2 linked regions of the Alligator mississippiensis genome follow. The protein of the gene in region 2 interacts with the protein of the main gene of each other region in a pairwise test. Links are inferred from orthologs where the notes say so. Each region holds a gene or a part of one and is shown on either strand. Other genes may lie near its edges.

Evidence for each region. The genes of interacting proteins can lie anywhere in the genome.
Region 1: the proteins of MKRN2 (region 2) and RACK1 interact in binary tests that used the Homo sapiens proteins (3 or more experiments, as listed by UniProt). The two-hybrid records come from large-scale screens. The link is inferred for Alligator mississippiensis from reciprocal best matches to the Homo sapiens genes MKRN2 and RACK1.

What each region holds. Positions count from the first base shown.
Region 1 is NC_081834.1:51,398,881-51,406,417, reverse strand, and holds the start of RACK1 (small ribosomal subunit protein RACK1), read right to left. Parts: upstream 3,256-7,537; 5' UTR 3,146-3,255; coding exon 3,037-3,145; intron 1,529-3,036; coding exon 1,357-1,528; intron 360-1,356; coding exon 212-359; intron 1-211. UniProt on the Homo sapiens protein: Scaffolding protein involved in the recruitment, assembly and/or regulation of a variety of signaling molecules. Interacts with a wide variety of proteins and plays a role in many cellular processes.
Region 2 is NC_081835.1:30,776,187-30,783,440, reverse strand, and holds the start of MKRN2 (E3 ubiquitin-protein ligase makorin-2), read left to right. Parts: upstream 1-3,881; 5' UTR 3,882-3,976; coding exon 3,977-4,002; intron 4,003-4,111; coding exon 4,112-4,240; intron 4,241-4,611; exon of another isoform or gene 4,612-4,933; coding exon of another isoform or gene 4,934-4,944; intron 4,945-5,268; coding exon 5,269-5,447; intron 5,448-7,002; coding exon 7,003-7,254. Other genes in the region: MKRN2OS (MKRN2 opposite strand protein), read right to left, coding at 1,086-1,248, 2,579-2,628, 3,330-3,547. UniProt on the Homo sapiens protein: E3 ubiquitin ligase catalyzing the covalent attachment of ubiquitin moieties onto substrate proteins.

The DNA of each region.
Region 1 (7,537 bases), on a different chromosome or scaffold from region 2:
CTGTACGAATCCCCACCTCACAAAGAGGCCCTAGATCACACAGAGCTAGCTGGCCCAGCCAGAGCTCAGAGTCCCATTTCATTCCTCAAGGGACAGTCAAGTGGGTTTCTACAACCAGCATATCTGAGGAAACAGTTCGGAGCAGAAGACTCATAATTTATTTTCCTGACTGGGAGGACATAACCACCAGGCAACCCTCTGCAAGCCTCACCTGAACTGTGTACTTGCAGACACCCAGGGTGTTCCAGAGCTTGATAGTCTTGTCCCTGGAACCCGAGACAATCTGCCGGTTGTCAGATGAGAAGGCCACGCTCAGGACATCCTTGGTATGGCCCACAAATCGCCGGGTTGTGGTACCTCTGCAGGGGGCAAAAGGAAAAACATTCGGGTCACTCTTGGTGTCACTATGGACACCTCCTCCTACATCCACCTGCCAAATCCCTACTAAACTTCACAAAGAGCAACAGAAGAGGCATGGTGGTAAAAGGACTGGGGTGGGGGGAGGTTGGGCTCATGGAGTTGAAGGTCACCAAGAAGCATGAGCCAGGTTCTGAGTTGGGTGGGGTGAGGGGAGCGGGGGGAGACCCTAACAAGCAAACTAAATGAAATGTTAGAGCAGAAGCATAATCCAGGAACCCGCAGAGGAGACAGCCCAGGTAGATAAAAGAGGATGGGAGGTGTATCATGCAAAAAAATAGGTGGAACAAGGAAAATAAAGGACATGACCAGCAGGAAAGACCATAAAGCTCCCTATCTCCCTTCCTGTCCCATCATAATTGCAGGACATGTCGTCAGACTCCAGAGAGTCAGCAGACTTGTGTCAGGTTTAATCATTGGGACTAGAAGGGAAAAGGAATGAACAAAACTATCTGGATTACCAGCTTTCTGCAGTCTTAAAAGCTGAGCTAGCCATTTCCTAGAAGTAGCTGTTTCAGGCTGGTGACCCGTACTCCGAAACCAAACATTTCTGAAGTCTTAAGATTAAAAAGTGCACAGGACAAAGAATGCTTGACCTGGAATTGAAAATGTGGGGCACACAGGGATAAGGATCTCCCCTCTTTAAACTGCCAACCCTTGCTATATCCCTGGTTGCTTTTTTGTAACTGGTCTGTGGACTTCAAAATGGGCAGCCAGTACTACTCCACAGTGCATCAGTGCAGTGGGATGGGAAGGAGGGCTGTGATCTGCAGAGCAAACAGGCCAAGGAAGTTAGAAGCGGGGAAAATCTCAGCATCACCCCCAGGGGTATCCTATTCCCTGTCTGTTCTACTGTGTTCTTTCGCCATGTTCTCTGCCCCGCAGACTCTGTTTCTGCCAAGGAAGCCACCCTGCCCTGTTCTTCTTCCTGTCACTCACGTGGTAAGGTCCCAGAGGCGCAAGGTGCCATCCCAGGAGCCAGAGAGGGCAAACTGCCCATCAGAGGAGATGACCACATCGCTGACAAAGTGTGAGTGGCCACGCAGGGCACGCTGTGGGATCCCATAGTTGGTCTCATCCCTGGTCAGCTTCCACATGATGATGGTCTTGTCTGTGCAGGAGAAGCAAAAAGGAATTAGCTGCGTCTCCCTACCACAGCAAAAGAGCACGGGGCCTGGAGACTGCCCCTAGACTGGACTGGGCAGCAACCACTGAACCCCTTCATACCAATCCTGAGAACAGCCCCTGGAATCAATCGTGGCATTTACCCAGTCCCAACCTCTATGGCACAGTCGATCACCAGTCTCATCAAACGTGGGCAAGTTAGATTATACCAACATGCGTCCGGTTCCCAATATCCTTTCCATTGCACCAACCTGTCCCCTCCTCTGAGACAGGGCTGCATAAAACGGCAAAACCCCTTATCCCCAATGCTCACCTAAGCACTAGGTCTCCAAATTCCCTCTCTTTTATTTTATAGCTATGGGCTTCTCCTGAACAATGTGCCCTGACAGGGAGCCCCACTCACCCTCCTTCCCAGAATCCCATCATAATTGCAGGACTTGTCATCAGACCCCAGAGGGTCAGCAGACGCGTCAGGTCTAATCACTGGGATCGGGAGGTGTGCAGCTCCATGATACTAGCAGGGATGAACCTCAGTGCATTGATGGCCTCTGGGCAAGCAGAGAAACTTCATCCTGGGCAAGCAGAGAGCACCCCCCACCCCCAGACAAGGAATTTGTGCAAGCCCCCAGAGCACCACCAACTCACGACAGCCTGAGGGTAGGGAAGGGATCCTAGGCTAGGAAGGTCCCAAAGCTGCTCCCTTTTGATCCCTCCCCACTTTCTGCTGGATTTGCCCCCTCTCAGGGATTGAAAGCCTAACAGGCCCCACCATCCTGCAAAGACCTTCAGTTCCCAAAACCCTCAGAGAGCCTCAACAGGTAGCACCCCCTGAACACCTTTTAGTGGGGCTTCCCCTCACAATACCCCCCACCTCCAGCTCCTGGACGAATAAACAGCACCCCCCACCCCATAGCTAGGGAAACTGAGTCCCAGCAGCCCACCCAGCCCTGCAGCCTGGTACAGACGAGAGATGGGAATTAAACCAGAAGTCTGAGCTCCACTTTCTTGTCCTGAACAAGGTCCGCACCTCCCCGGCCCCCTGCCCAGGGGCTCTTCCCGGACACCTGCCCCTTCGTCTCGGGCACCAGGTTCTGCTGCCCCAACCCCTCCCAGGCCTAAGGGCCCCAATCCCCTCCAGCTGCAGCCACATTTGCACAATGCTGAAGCAAATGGTGCAGCCCTGTGTCCTGGCCCCTCAGTGATCCATCCCCCATCCCACCCCTCCACGTGGCTGCAGACCCAGCATCCCCAATGGCACATCCCACCCTCCCCCCACCAGCAAAATGGTATCTCCCTCTGCCTGGTTCCCCACCCCCACTGCAGGGTTGGTCTCTGCCTAGCCCCCAACCAAGCAGCGAGGTGGACTTTCCCACCCCCGCAGCTGCCACCACGATGGTGTCAGCCACAGCCCTTTATGCCACCCGCTGCAGGTTGCCCCCCCCCCCAAGCGGGTGCATTGGTCTGCCCCGCCCCCACCCCCGGCGCCGCTCTCACCGCGCGAGGCGGACAAGATCATGTCCGGGAACTGCGGGGTGGTGGCGATCTGCGTCACCCAGCCATTGTGGCCCTTCAGGGTGCCGCGCAGGGTCATCTGCTCCGTCATGGCGGCAGCGGCACGGCGGGCTCAGCGCGCGGGGGAGGGAGGATGGCGGCGGATTCGGCGGCGGCCGCGGGCCGGACCCTGCACTCGCTCAGGCAGCGGCCCAGAGAGAAAGGAAGTCGGGACGTCGGCCGGAAACGGAAATAAGCTTCGCGTCGCGTCGCGCCGTACGGCAAGATGGCTGCCGCCGGCCGCCGTCACTCAGAAGGCGGGAAGGAGAGGCGCCCGCCAGCCAACATGGTGGCTTCCGCAAGCAGGAGCCAAGATGGCGGCGCCCTTGCGGAGGCGCTGGGGTTTGTCATGGCGACCACTACGTGGCGGTTCCGTACAGCGGCCTTTGCCAATGAGAGCGGGGGGGCGGGGCCTGGCGCGTGTGGCCGCTGATATTACACTAAATTCACGCCCGCTTTCAAAACTGAAGCGAGGTGATGGTCGGGGTCGGAAGCTGTCTGTAGCGCTGGGAGTGGGGGGGGCAGGGGTGAGTTATAGCCACCCTAAAATTGTCGGAACCCCCCCATACAGCCCACCGCCGCCGTCCACCCCAGCCCCGCCCGAGCGCAGCCCCGGCCCAGCGCCCCCTGTGGGAAGAGGCCAGCACCGCTCCTGGCCCTGAGCCCGCAGCATGCAGCGCACCCCGCCTCGTGCACGAATCCGGGGACACACGACACGCCCCGCCCCGCCCTGCCCCGCCCCCCCAGCCCAGCCCTGGCTCCACCCCGCGCCCCTTCACTGTTCTTGTGCTGCTCCTCTGCCCTGAAGGGGAGTGTGACGCCGCTGGGCTAGACAAGGGCTGGCTCGCTGGGATAGGGATGATTCCCCCTCAAGCAGGGCTGGACTAGACCTTTGGACATCCTTCCAGCCCTACTTTGATATGATTCTGTGATTATCACAAATGATCAACAAATCTATATTATTTTAATTTATACCAGTACTGGTAATTTCTGAAAAAAAAAATTGTTTTAATATAGGACCAGGAACAACTTCAAGCTTGTCACAGTTGAAATTAATTTGGACCCTAATTTTCACTGATTTTTTTTTTTTTAATGAAATTTTACAAGAAGGAAGTACGTTTTACCACCTGAGACCCTGCTCCTGCCTTTGTTTGAGGTAATTTGCATTATCACAGAGCCCGGAGATACTTTGCCACATGAGAAATTCCTGCCCAGAAGAGCAGCCCATCATTTTATTCTGTGAAATATGGAATATCATAACCAGAAGGAAATATAACTCTACGTCCTGCTAGCCACCAAACACCTTCGAGGTAAACAGACTAGTCCAACTTTTTTCTGGCCCTAAGCTGCATAAAATGAACTGTTCCAGACAGGGGTGTAGGTTGTAGCCGTGCTGGTCTAAGGACATAAGCAGACAAGGTTCCTTGGGTGAATCTGATATCTTTTATTAGACCAACCCAAATAGTTGGAAAATAATTATTAAGCAAGCTTTCGGGTTCAAAAACCCTTCGTGAGGCTAAGGAAGTTTCAGCAGTTGGTGTGTGTTCCAAACAGGAGATTTTACCACACCTTCAACTCTCCTATGAAATATGAACTTTCATTTCTACCTCGGAGAACTTTTACAGTCTTTTCTCCTATGCCTGAAGAAGGGTCCCTGTGCCTGAAAGCTTGCAAATGAAACTTTTTTTTGCAAAAATCTAATTGGTCTAATAAAAGATGTCACCTCTACCACTAGTTCAGATCCCTTTGGACCTTAACATATCTCCTTTACTCTTACTTCCACTTTCTATAAATGCTGCAAGATCAAAGCACATTTCTCAGTTTGGAATTAAAAGAGAATTCTTTAAAAACTTTAAGGAAAGACTACAATCACACTCCTGGCCCCTTTTACACTTGGAATTATCCATGCAACTTAATAGACTGAAAAGCGATGCGTGTTAAATGATTATCTTGACAAAAGGTATGCTTTGGACTTCCCAGCTACAGCTTAAAAATTGTAGACCTGTTCAAAAGGATCAGTCAGGTAGGTGGATTCGTCTGCCACAGGTATTTAAAACAACGTTTTTCATATCTGCAGTAGAAACCATTTTTTTTTGGACAGATTAAATATTTCTGTGATAATTTGTTTAACTCTTTGTGTGAACGCAGCATTCAATATGTATTCGAAAAGGTTTGCACTTGAAATGTATTTCAGATTGACTTCCAAGTAATGTAACACCAGACTGTTTGATAATGTTGAAGTATTACGTATTTATTTCGCTGTTGTGCTTAATTAAAAATGCATTGGACCTGATCTTACTCTCAGTGCGTTCTAAGAGTTATTTTTAACTAAAATAACTTCATACTTTTAGAATTCAGGCAGGAAGAGACTGCTCCAGGCCCAGATGCCATTAGCATAGCTTTTTTGATTTTTGTTACTAACAAGCTTTTTCCTTGAAAGTTTAAAAGAAAAAAAAATCCAGAATCAATCAAAACAGAAAATGGTATCTTTTACTTGCTAGAAATTCAATGGGAATTAAACATTCGCTTAAATATTTGCTGAATAAGAGGAGTAGACACAAATCTTGAAAGGCTGGACCCATAATATTGGACTCTTCATGGGGTAATTGTCTTGCATTTTCTAATCCACAATGTCTACAAAATTTTGGGAGAATATCCAGTAGGGATGTGTGGTAGTCACAAGTTTAGGGGGAAAATGATGACATAAATGCAAGAGAGAGGCCAAGCTGCAAATTGTAAACCAGTTCATTTTTGCTATTTGATGTTTCACAAGAAAAATCTCTGAGAATTGAAAAAAATAATATTTTTTCATGAGAAATTTTCAACAAAATGATTTATTTCATTTGAAGTTTTTTTGAAGTTTTTTCAGTAATGCAACCTAGAACATTTTTTTTTTTTATTAGCCATCACAAATTAAATGATACCAACAGTTTTTTTTAAATTGCCATCTTTCTCTCTTCTCTCCACCCCGCTTCCTTTTCCATGTGGATAGAGGAAAACCAAAGAATATATATGGACTCATTCTAATACAAACTTTTTATTCATTTCATAGATTCATAGATGTTAGGGTCGGAAGGGACCTCAATAGATCATCGAGTCCGACCCCCTGCATAAGCAGGAAAGAGTGCTGGGTCTAGATGACCCCAGCTAGATGCTCATCTAACCTCCTCTTGAAGACCCCCAGGGTAGGGGAGCCCGTTCCAGACCTTGGCCACTCGAACTGTGAAGAAGTTCTTCCTAATGTCCAATCTAAATCTGCTCTCTGCTAGCTTGTGGCCATTATTTCTTGTAACCCCCGGGGGCGCCTTGGTGAATAAATACTCACCAATTCCCTTCTGTGCCCCCATGATGAACTTAAAGGCAGCCACAAGGTCGCCTCTCAACCTTCTCTTGCGGAGGCTGAAAAGGTCCAGTTTCTCTAGTCTCTCCTCGTAGGGCTTGGTCTGCAGGCCCTTGACCATACAAGTTGCCCTTCTCTGGACCCTCTCCAGGTTATCCGCATCCTTCTTGAAGTGTGGCACCCAGAATTGCACGCAGTACTCCAACTGCGGTCTGACCAGCGCCCTATAGAGGGGAAGTATCACCTCCCTGGACCTATTCGTCATGCATCTGCTGATGCACGATAAAGTGCCATTGGCTTTTCTGATGGCTTCGTCACACTGCCGGCTCATGTTCATCTTGGAGTCCACTAGGACTCCAAGATCCCTTTCCACCTCTGTGCCACCCAGCAGGTCATTCCCTAGGCTGTAGGTGTGCTGGACATTTTTCCTCCCTAGGTGCAGCACTTTGCATTTAAAATAACATTTTTTATTATTATTCTATGGCAAAATAGGGGGGAAAGAGGCATAGAAGGGGTATCTTCGGTAGCAGTGAAGAAGTTTTCAATTAAATTAAATTTTAAAACTTTGCTCTTCTCAGATTCCCCAAAGGGTGTGCCATGGCACAGTAGCGTGCTGTAAGAGCAGCAGAAGTGCTATGCAAAAAATTAGAGATATACCAATACATCGGTCCCATAGAAGATCAGCACCAATATAAGGAAAATTGATGGTATCAGCAGTCAGGTTTTTTTGGCTGATGTAACCGATAATGCCACCAATAAATGCCCCATGCATGCGCACAGCCACAGCGCAGCACACAGGCGGCCAGGAGCAAAGCCCAGCAGTGTGGAGAGCAGCCGGGTCCAGCTGGTAAGTCTGTTGTGAGGGCTTTCCCAAGCAGGGGGTGCTAAGCCAGGCTGCGCTTGGGGCGGGTGGCAGCAGCACCAGGAGGGGGCTATGGTGAATTTTGGGGTGGCTGCAGCCCCCCCCGTAGCCCTGCTTCCAATGCTGCTGCTGCCTACCCCAATAGTAGCTTGACCCAACCTCCACCGGGAAGAGCCTGGCACGGCCCCAGACTGCAGCAGCAGCCTGCCCTTGCCCCACGTGCAGTTCCAGGGGCACATGCC
Region 2 (7,254 bases):
AAAAATGTAAACACCTAACCCTCTTTCCTCCATTATTCTGTTTGACATCAAATTATTTTCTAGAAGTAAGGGTGGAAACTTAACAAGTTCCAAAGTTATTAAACATCAGTGGAAATTGTGCTCCTCAGGCAGGCACTTTCTGAGAATTCCATCATAAATCAAGTCCTTTTGGCTTCAGTCAAAACATGGGGAAAACTATGCATGTTGAAATACATGGCTATATCAGCCGGAAACAGTGATTCAAGTTGGGCTTAAAACTAACTCCCGTTCACTTCAGCACTCCACATGATTGGACCCAAGCAAGCCATTTCATAAATTCACTTTATACAAGGCATGTGTAAAGCACTGGTCTTCTCAGTGAGTTTGTTTATTAATAAACTTGGTGATGTGGTGGTGTATATTCCAGCCTGGCCACATCTCTTGTTATGTCTACATCTGACAGCCTCAATGGAAGCTAAAAAGAAATGACCCCACAATGATGACCATGCCAGATTTGCTCAAAATGTTTTAAGGCTTTCTGCATTTACCTGGCAGAAAAAAGTATGGCACTGCAAGCCAGCTGGAACTGGATACAAGTCACATTGAGCATTTTTTCCATTCCTCATCATTGACATGGAATAAATCATCAAGATGTATTCTGTATACAAAACTCTTAGATTTCAGCATGATCAGGATTTTAGCCTGTAGAGCCAGAAGTACCCAAGAGAAATGAATCCCACCAGCTGTAGATTTGCCTAAAATTGTGAAGAATCAGGGCTTCCACAGTTAACCACAGGTACCTCTAGAGCCCTGACTTAAGAGGATCTTATTGTTTCTGCACAAAAATTTTTCTGTTGTTGGAGCAACTGGCTCTAATATAAAGGCTCTGTGTTCCAGCAGGCATATCTATTACTTTGGCCACTCCCTCAAAACACATTACCATTTAACAAAGCTGTAGATTTTCAAGCTGCTAGTTGTCTGAAAGGACCTTACAAACTGTTGCTATGTGATTCAAGTATATGAAACCAGCGGTGAACCACAAACTTAGTACAATTCAATCCTGAATTAACTCTTTTCTGTTAAATTTATCTGCTGAACTTACATACCTGTGAGGAAGCCAGGCCTCTCCAGCAGAGAACTCTTCTAGGTACTTATCCCACTGTTGAAGCAGCCCATACATGCCTGGCTGTACTAGTGGGATACTAATGCATTGTTCCCACCCAAATTCAACTCTGTGAATGCCCGTTTCATTGTAATTGTATACGAGTCCTGGAAATACAAACAGCAACGTTATTAGCAAGAGCTGGAGAATTAGAAATAAAGTTACAGTTCTGCTAACAGGATGAAGCAGCTGCTTTCTATAATGGTACTCCTTGCTGCAATACAGCAGTTACCGAAGCCTGTAAAACTGTCCTCTCACTCCCTCCCCTACCAAAAACATCATATTCTGTCCCACAAGCAAAATTTATTTAAAAAAAAAAAAAACACAACTCCCACAGAACATGCTGAATAGTTTTTAATTTCAAAATAAACAATCCACTGTCATACCTGCAACACAAGTGTTGCCCCATTCTGTTAGTGCAAAATAATTCAGTGAAAATGGGTTGGAAAGTAAAACTGATAATCTACTTTCATTGAGAAAAATGCAAAAGATGAACACCACATTAAATTCCATTTTTAAAATTCTATCAGATATCAAAAAGGCTGTTATAATCTGACAACGTCCTGTTAAGGAAAATGTATTTAAAGTGGCAGTACAAATAACTGTAAAGCAAACATTTTCTAGTATGTCTTTCAAAGGCTGCCTACCTTGTTAGCATTTTGTCCTGAGAATAGATAAATAGGGCTGGGTTTGGTTTCCAACATGAGTTCCATTTTATAGGAATCTTAAAAGTTTGGGATTATAATGATAGGTGGTTTTCTTTTGGGGCTCTCTGGTCAGTGCTGAGATGTTAAAACAGAATCCCACATTTAAACTGTCAACCTCAATTTCCTTTGACATTAGCAGAGCCCAGATTTTACTGTAGCTCTCTAGTAGTAGAGCCAACAGGTTTGGAGATGTTTTTCAACAGCAAATCTCACTCACCATGCATGTATCCAATTAGTGAATGCAACTGGCTGGCTCTGAAATGAGTGCTATTCAATCCTAACCCCTAAAGCACTGGTTCTTATCCCATTTTGTACCAGGACCCATTTGTAAACATCGATGGCCAGTCCCAACCCAGTGCCCCTCACTCCCAACCTGCTGCCCCATCCGCAGCGTGAGAGGTGGAGGGGCCCAAGCAGCCCCTTGCAGGCTGGAGCTCTGCCAGCCTGCAAGGGAAAAGCCATGGTTTCTCATGTTTTTCTCCTTTAAAGGGAGAATCCATTTTTGAAGTATGTGGATCCATTTTTAGAGTTTGTTCACAACCCTTTCATATATTCTTGTGACCCACTTTTGGGTCATGACCCACGGGTTGAGAAATACTGTTCTCAAGGAAGATCAGGAAGATAGGAGTGAAATCAAACTTGTATATATAGTTTAAATCCCAGAAATGTACTGGAGATACACAAAGATGTTGCATATTTAAGAAGAGATTAATTACAAAGCTCTTGTTACCATTAGTACTGGTTATTCCAACATGAAGATCAGATTTCCCATCATACTCTCTGAAAGAAAAATGGTATAAAGTTTTTACGACTGAAAATAGCTTCATGCAGGGGCTGCTTGGTCACGTTAAAAATACTCTGAAAGGTCTCCTTCCCTAATTGCTGGTACTTTTGACTCCAGCTGAGACTAGAATGTGAGGGAGCATGGATGCAGACATCATTACACACCTCATGAAATTTTTCATTTCCAGAAATGGCTGTTTAGATTTTGTACAAGTGTCATTTTCTGTTCACCCCAAACACCCCCCTACTGGACCACAACAACAGCACAGCAGGGCACAGGGCAACAGTAGAGGGAGACCACAAAGGGCTCGGAAGGACAGGTCACGCTCCATGGGGGCTCCAAAGATGAAAAATGAAGGCCCAGATTTCCCCTTACCACAAACCCACAGGATAAGAACTTCAATGAAAACTCAGCTTTTAACAGCAGTCCGTGCACACACACAGTATGGGCTCGCACTTCTCGTCCACTAAGGAGACAAACGGGCCAGGTACACAGGTCGCTACACACCCCGCACCCATTCTGTCAGATCAGGGGCTTAGTGCCCAAGCAACATTTCGCACCAACTGTTTTGCAGACGACAAAGTGCAGCAAGACCCGAACTGGGGACGGGGCAGGACACGCGCGCCTACCCCCGCGTCTGAGAAAGGCCCGGGGCCGGAGCCGGCGGGGAAGGCCGAGCGGCGGACGGCGGCCGTACCCCAGGAAGGCGCCGGCCGTGGGCCGCAGCAGGAAGGCGCAGAGCCGCGCGTGCCCGTTGACGAAGGGGCTGGGGACGCTGACGGGCGCCTGCTCCAGCCCGCGGTAGAGGAGGCGGCGGCCGCAGGCGGGGCAGCGCGCGGGCACACGCGGGCCGAAGATGAACTTCCCGCAGTGGCGGAACCGGACGACGCCGCCCGCCGGCTCCCACGGCTGCATGGCGCCAGCCGTCTCGCGCTGGGATCCGGCTCGCAGAGGGGGCGGGTGACGTCACACAGGCTGGCAGCCCATCCGGCCAATAGCTCCGGGAACGCGCGGTGACGAGCACTGGTGTTCGGGTGCCAGCGCCCCGCTGCAGGCCAGGCGAGAGCAGCTGCTTGCAGCTTGCGAGTCCCCTGGGTCGCACGCCCCGCCCCCACCAAGAGCGGCGCTCTGCCCCCGGCCGCTTTGTCTCGATGGCTCCCGCCCGCTCTCCCTGGCCCCGCCCCCCGCGCGGGGCGGCTCCGGTCCGGCGGGGAATAGGGTCCCCCCGCGCCCATTCCCGCCGCGGCACCGTTCCGCACAGCTCTGTCCCTCCCCCCGCGCGCGGCGGAACCGAGGGCTCGGGCTGGGGCTCGGGCGGGTCGGAGAGCAGGAGCGAGGCCGGCCATGAGCACCAAGCAGGTGACCTGCAGGTGAGGCCGCGCCGCGAGGGCCGCGCCGGGGCCGGGGGTTGTGCGAGGGGCTCCCGCGGCCCAGGCTGGGGGCGGCCGGCGTGTGACGGCGCCCGTTTCCCGCCCGCAGGTACTACGTGCATGGCGTGTGCCGCCAGGGCAGCCGCTGCCTGTTCTCCCACGACCTGTCCGCGAGCCGCGCAGCCGCCGTCTGCCGCTTCTACCAGAAGGGACAGTGCGCCTACGGCGCGCGCTGCAGGTGAGCGCCCGCGGGTCCCGGCCCGGCCCGGCCCGGCCCGGCGGAGCTGGGCGGGAGCAGTCAGCGAGGGCTGGGCCGAGCCGAGCTGTGTTCCGCGCTGCAGGGATTTCCGGCCTTGCCGCCTGCCCCCTTGTGCCCTTTCTGCGCCGGGGGGGGCTAAGCCTCCCTCAGAGGCGCTGGTGTTAGCTGCAGCCCAGGCTCTGGTTTTTGGCAGGGCTGTGCCAGTACTCCTGCTGGGACCAAAGCCGGGGGTTCCTGGCCTTGAGCGGAGGGACAAGACCTGCTAGCCAGAGTGATGCCATATTTGGGATCAGGAAGGAATTTTACCCTGTGGTCGGATTGGCCAGAGCTGTGGGGGCTTTTGCCTTCCTCTGTAGCAGGGGCGCAGCCTCTGCCCAGGGCCTCTTGAGTATATATTCACAGTATTTCATAGTTGCAGGATGTTGGCTGCCATCGTTCCCCTGCTTTACCTACACCAAATCAGGGTGTTAGGTGTGTTGTGTCAGGATTGAGGGTAGTTTTACATAGAGTTTAGATTACGGTTTGTATGGGATGGTTTGGATAGGAATGATCCTGCCTCAAGTGGGGGTTGAACTAGGTGCCTCTGGAGGTCCCTTCAAGCCCTGCTTTTCTATGATTTGATGACTTGCCGTCTTAACTAATATTGACAGAAGCAAAGAGGAACTGGAGCAAATGATACACAGGTACATCACTGGGGGAATGCAGCCCCCATCTCGTCTGAGCAGGTGCTATGAGACGGGACCTCGTACAGGATGTTGGCAGGATTTTCGGTTCCCCTGCCTTGGGAGGAATGGTTTCCCTGACTACTGTCTAGACTAGTGTGGGGGACTGTTGCTACACCTGCGCTTAAAGCTTCATTGGCAGAATGTATGGGCAGGGGGATATGAGAGCGATCCAGTCTGGACTGTCTATGTGGAGTCCAGTAGTTTCCCAAGCAATCCCAATTATGCCTTCAACCAGAGTTTAGTCCTTGTAGCACAAACTTTTACTTTGCTTTTTCTTTTTAGATATGATCATACCAGGCTTCCTGCTCCGAGTGGTACAGTGGGCATTGCACCACCCAGCCTCTCTTTACCAGTGCTCCACAGCCCAAACCCTCCATCAGAGCATAGCACACCTGTAATCAAGAGCAAAACATGTGAACCTGGCAAGCGTGAAAAGAAAACACTAGTGCTGAGGGACAGAAGTGAGTTGGAACAGTTACCATGCTTATTGCTGCTGGTAGTTTTATTACTTCCCTTCTTCTCCTTGTCTCTTCCATTTACAGATGCCCAAGCAGATGCAGTTACCTTTGTAACATAATTCTGCAAATGCTTACACCTGTTAACTTTTCCAGGGGAAAGCTTTCCTTCTGCTCCATGCATTCCCCCAAATGATTCTTCTGTGTCTCCATGTGGTCCTTTCTTGCCATCTTCCAAGAGCAGGGCATGAGCAGAGATTTGTGTAGTGAAGGGGGATTTGGGGTGGTGCCAGGGGATTAGCACTTGGAGGACTGACCCAGTATACTTGAGCACAAGTACTGGGGGAGTCCTGCATTGCCTAATGCTGTAGAATGGGGGTCAAGCTCCCGCTCTCAGCAGTCCTCTATTTCTACGTGCATACCCACCATGGTCTCCCCAGGTCCACCATAAATAAACCCTTTCCTTCTCAATATTGCTTTCACTATCCTTTGTGAGGCTGCAATGCTGGGTTATCTTCCTTCTTCCTCTCTCAGCCCTGTACAATTGCCCTACCCTATCAGTGCCCCAGGCCCCTTGCTGCTCTTGGCAGGGTCTCTGGGCTGAACCTTGATGGATGCTGAAGAAGCTGGGTGGCAGCTTTGGAACAGTGTGTGAGACCAGAACATGATCTGTCCGTCTCCTTTTCCTTTCAGCAATAAAACTCCAGTAACATTCCTTTTGGGAGTTCATGGTGAAAGAGTGACATAATGGCTGCTGACAGACATGGAAAAAAACCCAAAAAACCAGCACTTGACCAGAAGAAGAAGTGCGTTAGTTGAACTCAGCTCCCCAGTGTCTGTATAGACTGCACACTTCAGTGGGACTTTTTGGCACTTTTATCTAATTAATGGCTGATTTAATCAGATATTAGATAAAAGCACCAAAAAGCCCTGCTGAAGCACACAATCTACACAGACATTGGGCAAGCTGGGTCAAATTAATGCAATGTTTCTTCTGGGCATGTACTGCCAAGCTGGGGGGGGGGGGGGGGAGGGGGGTTTCCATGTCTTAAACAGTCAATCTGTATGTACTGCATTTGAGATGTTATGCAAAATCAGAAGTTTCTAGTAATACCAGGTCTTTTATTTACAAAATGTTATTCAGAGGAGAAATTTCCAAACAGTGTCAGGGAAATCTGTTTTGGAGCAATTCTTTGTGGTCACATGAATGCAGTTGGCTCCTGAATTGCCAAGAGAGGGAATTGTGGAGAACAAATTTATTCATTCATTCATTTAGTTGAGAACCAGGAGGATTTTAGCCTTGCTTCAAGTGCAAATATGAAAGCAGTTCAAAATGTGTATGTACCTGGTATTTTCAGGCTTTGCAGTATATAATTTTGATTGTAAAATGCTGCTGAGTTTAGGTATAGAAGGAGCTATATATGTGGATTCAGCTGGTGAGAGGGCCGTGGTTAAACAACCCTTTAGTTCATCAGGTAGCCTTTGTATTCAAGACAGGTTCCTTTGTGGCTTTTATGCTTTCATGATCATTCAATATATATTGTGCTTTTTTTCTTTTAAGATTTACGTAGTTTGAATGAAGAAAAGACGAGACTCAGTGCAGCAAGTGACCTGGCTTGTTGCAGTGACAGAACTGATGATCTGGAAATGAAGCCTCATTCATATCTAGAAGCTATTTGCACTGGGCTGGAAGATCCAATGCCTGGAAGTTCCTCTGCTGATGGACAGCAGCTGTGTCCCTATGCAGCTGCTGGGGCGTGCCAGTTCGGTGACCAGTGCCCTTACCTCCATGGAGAGGTGTGTGAGATCTGTG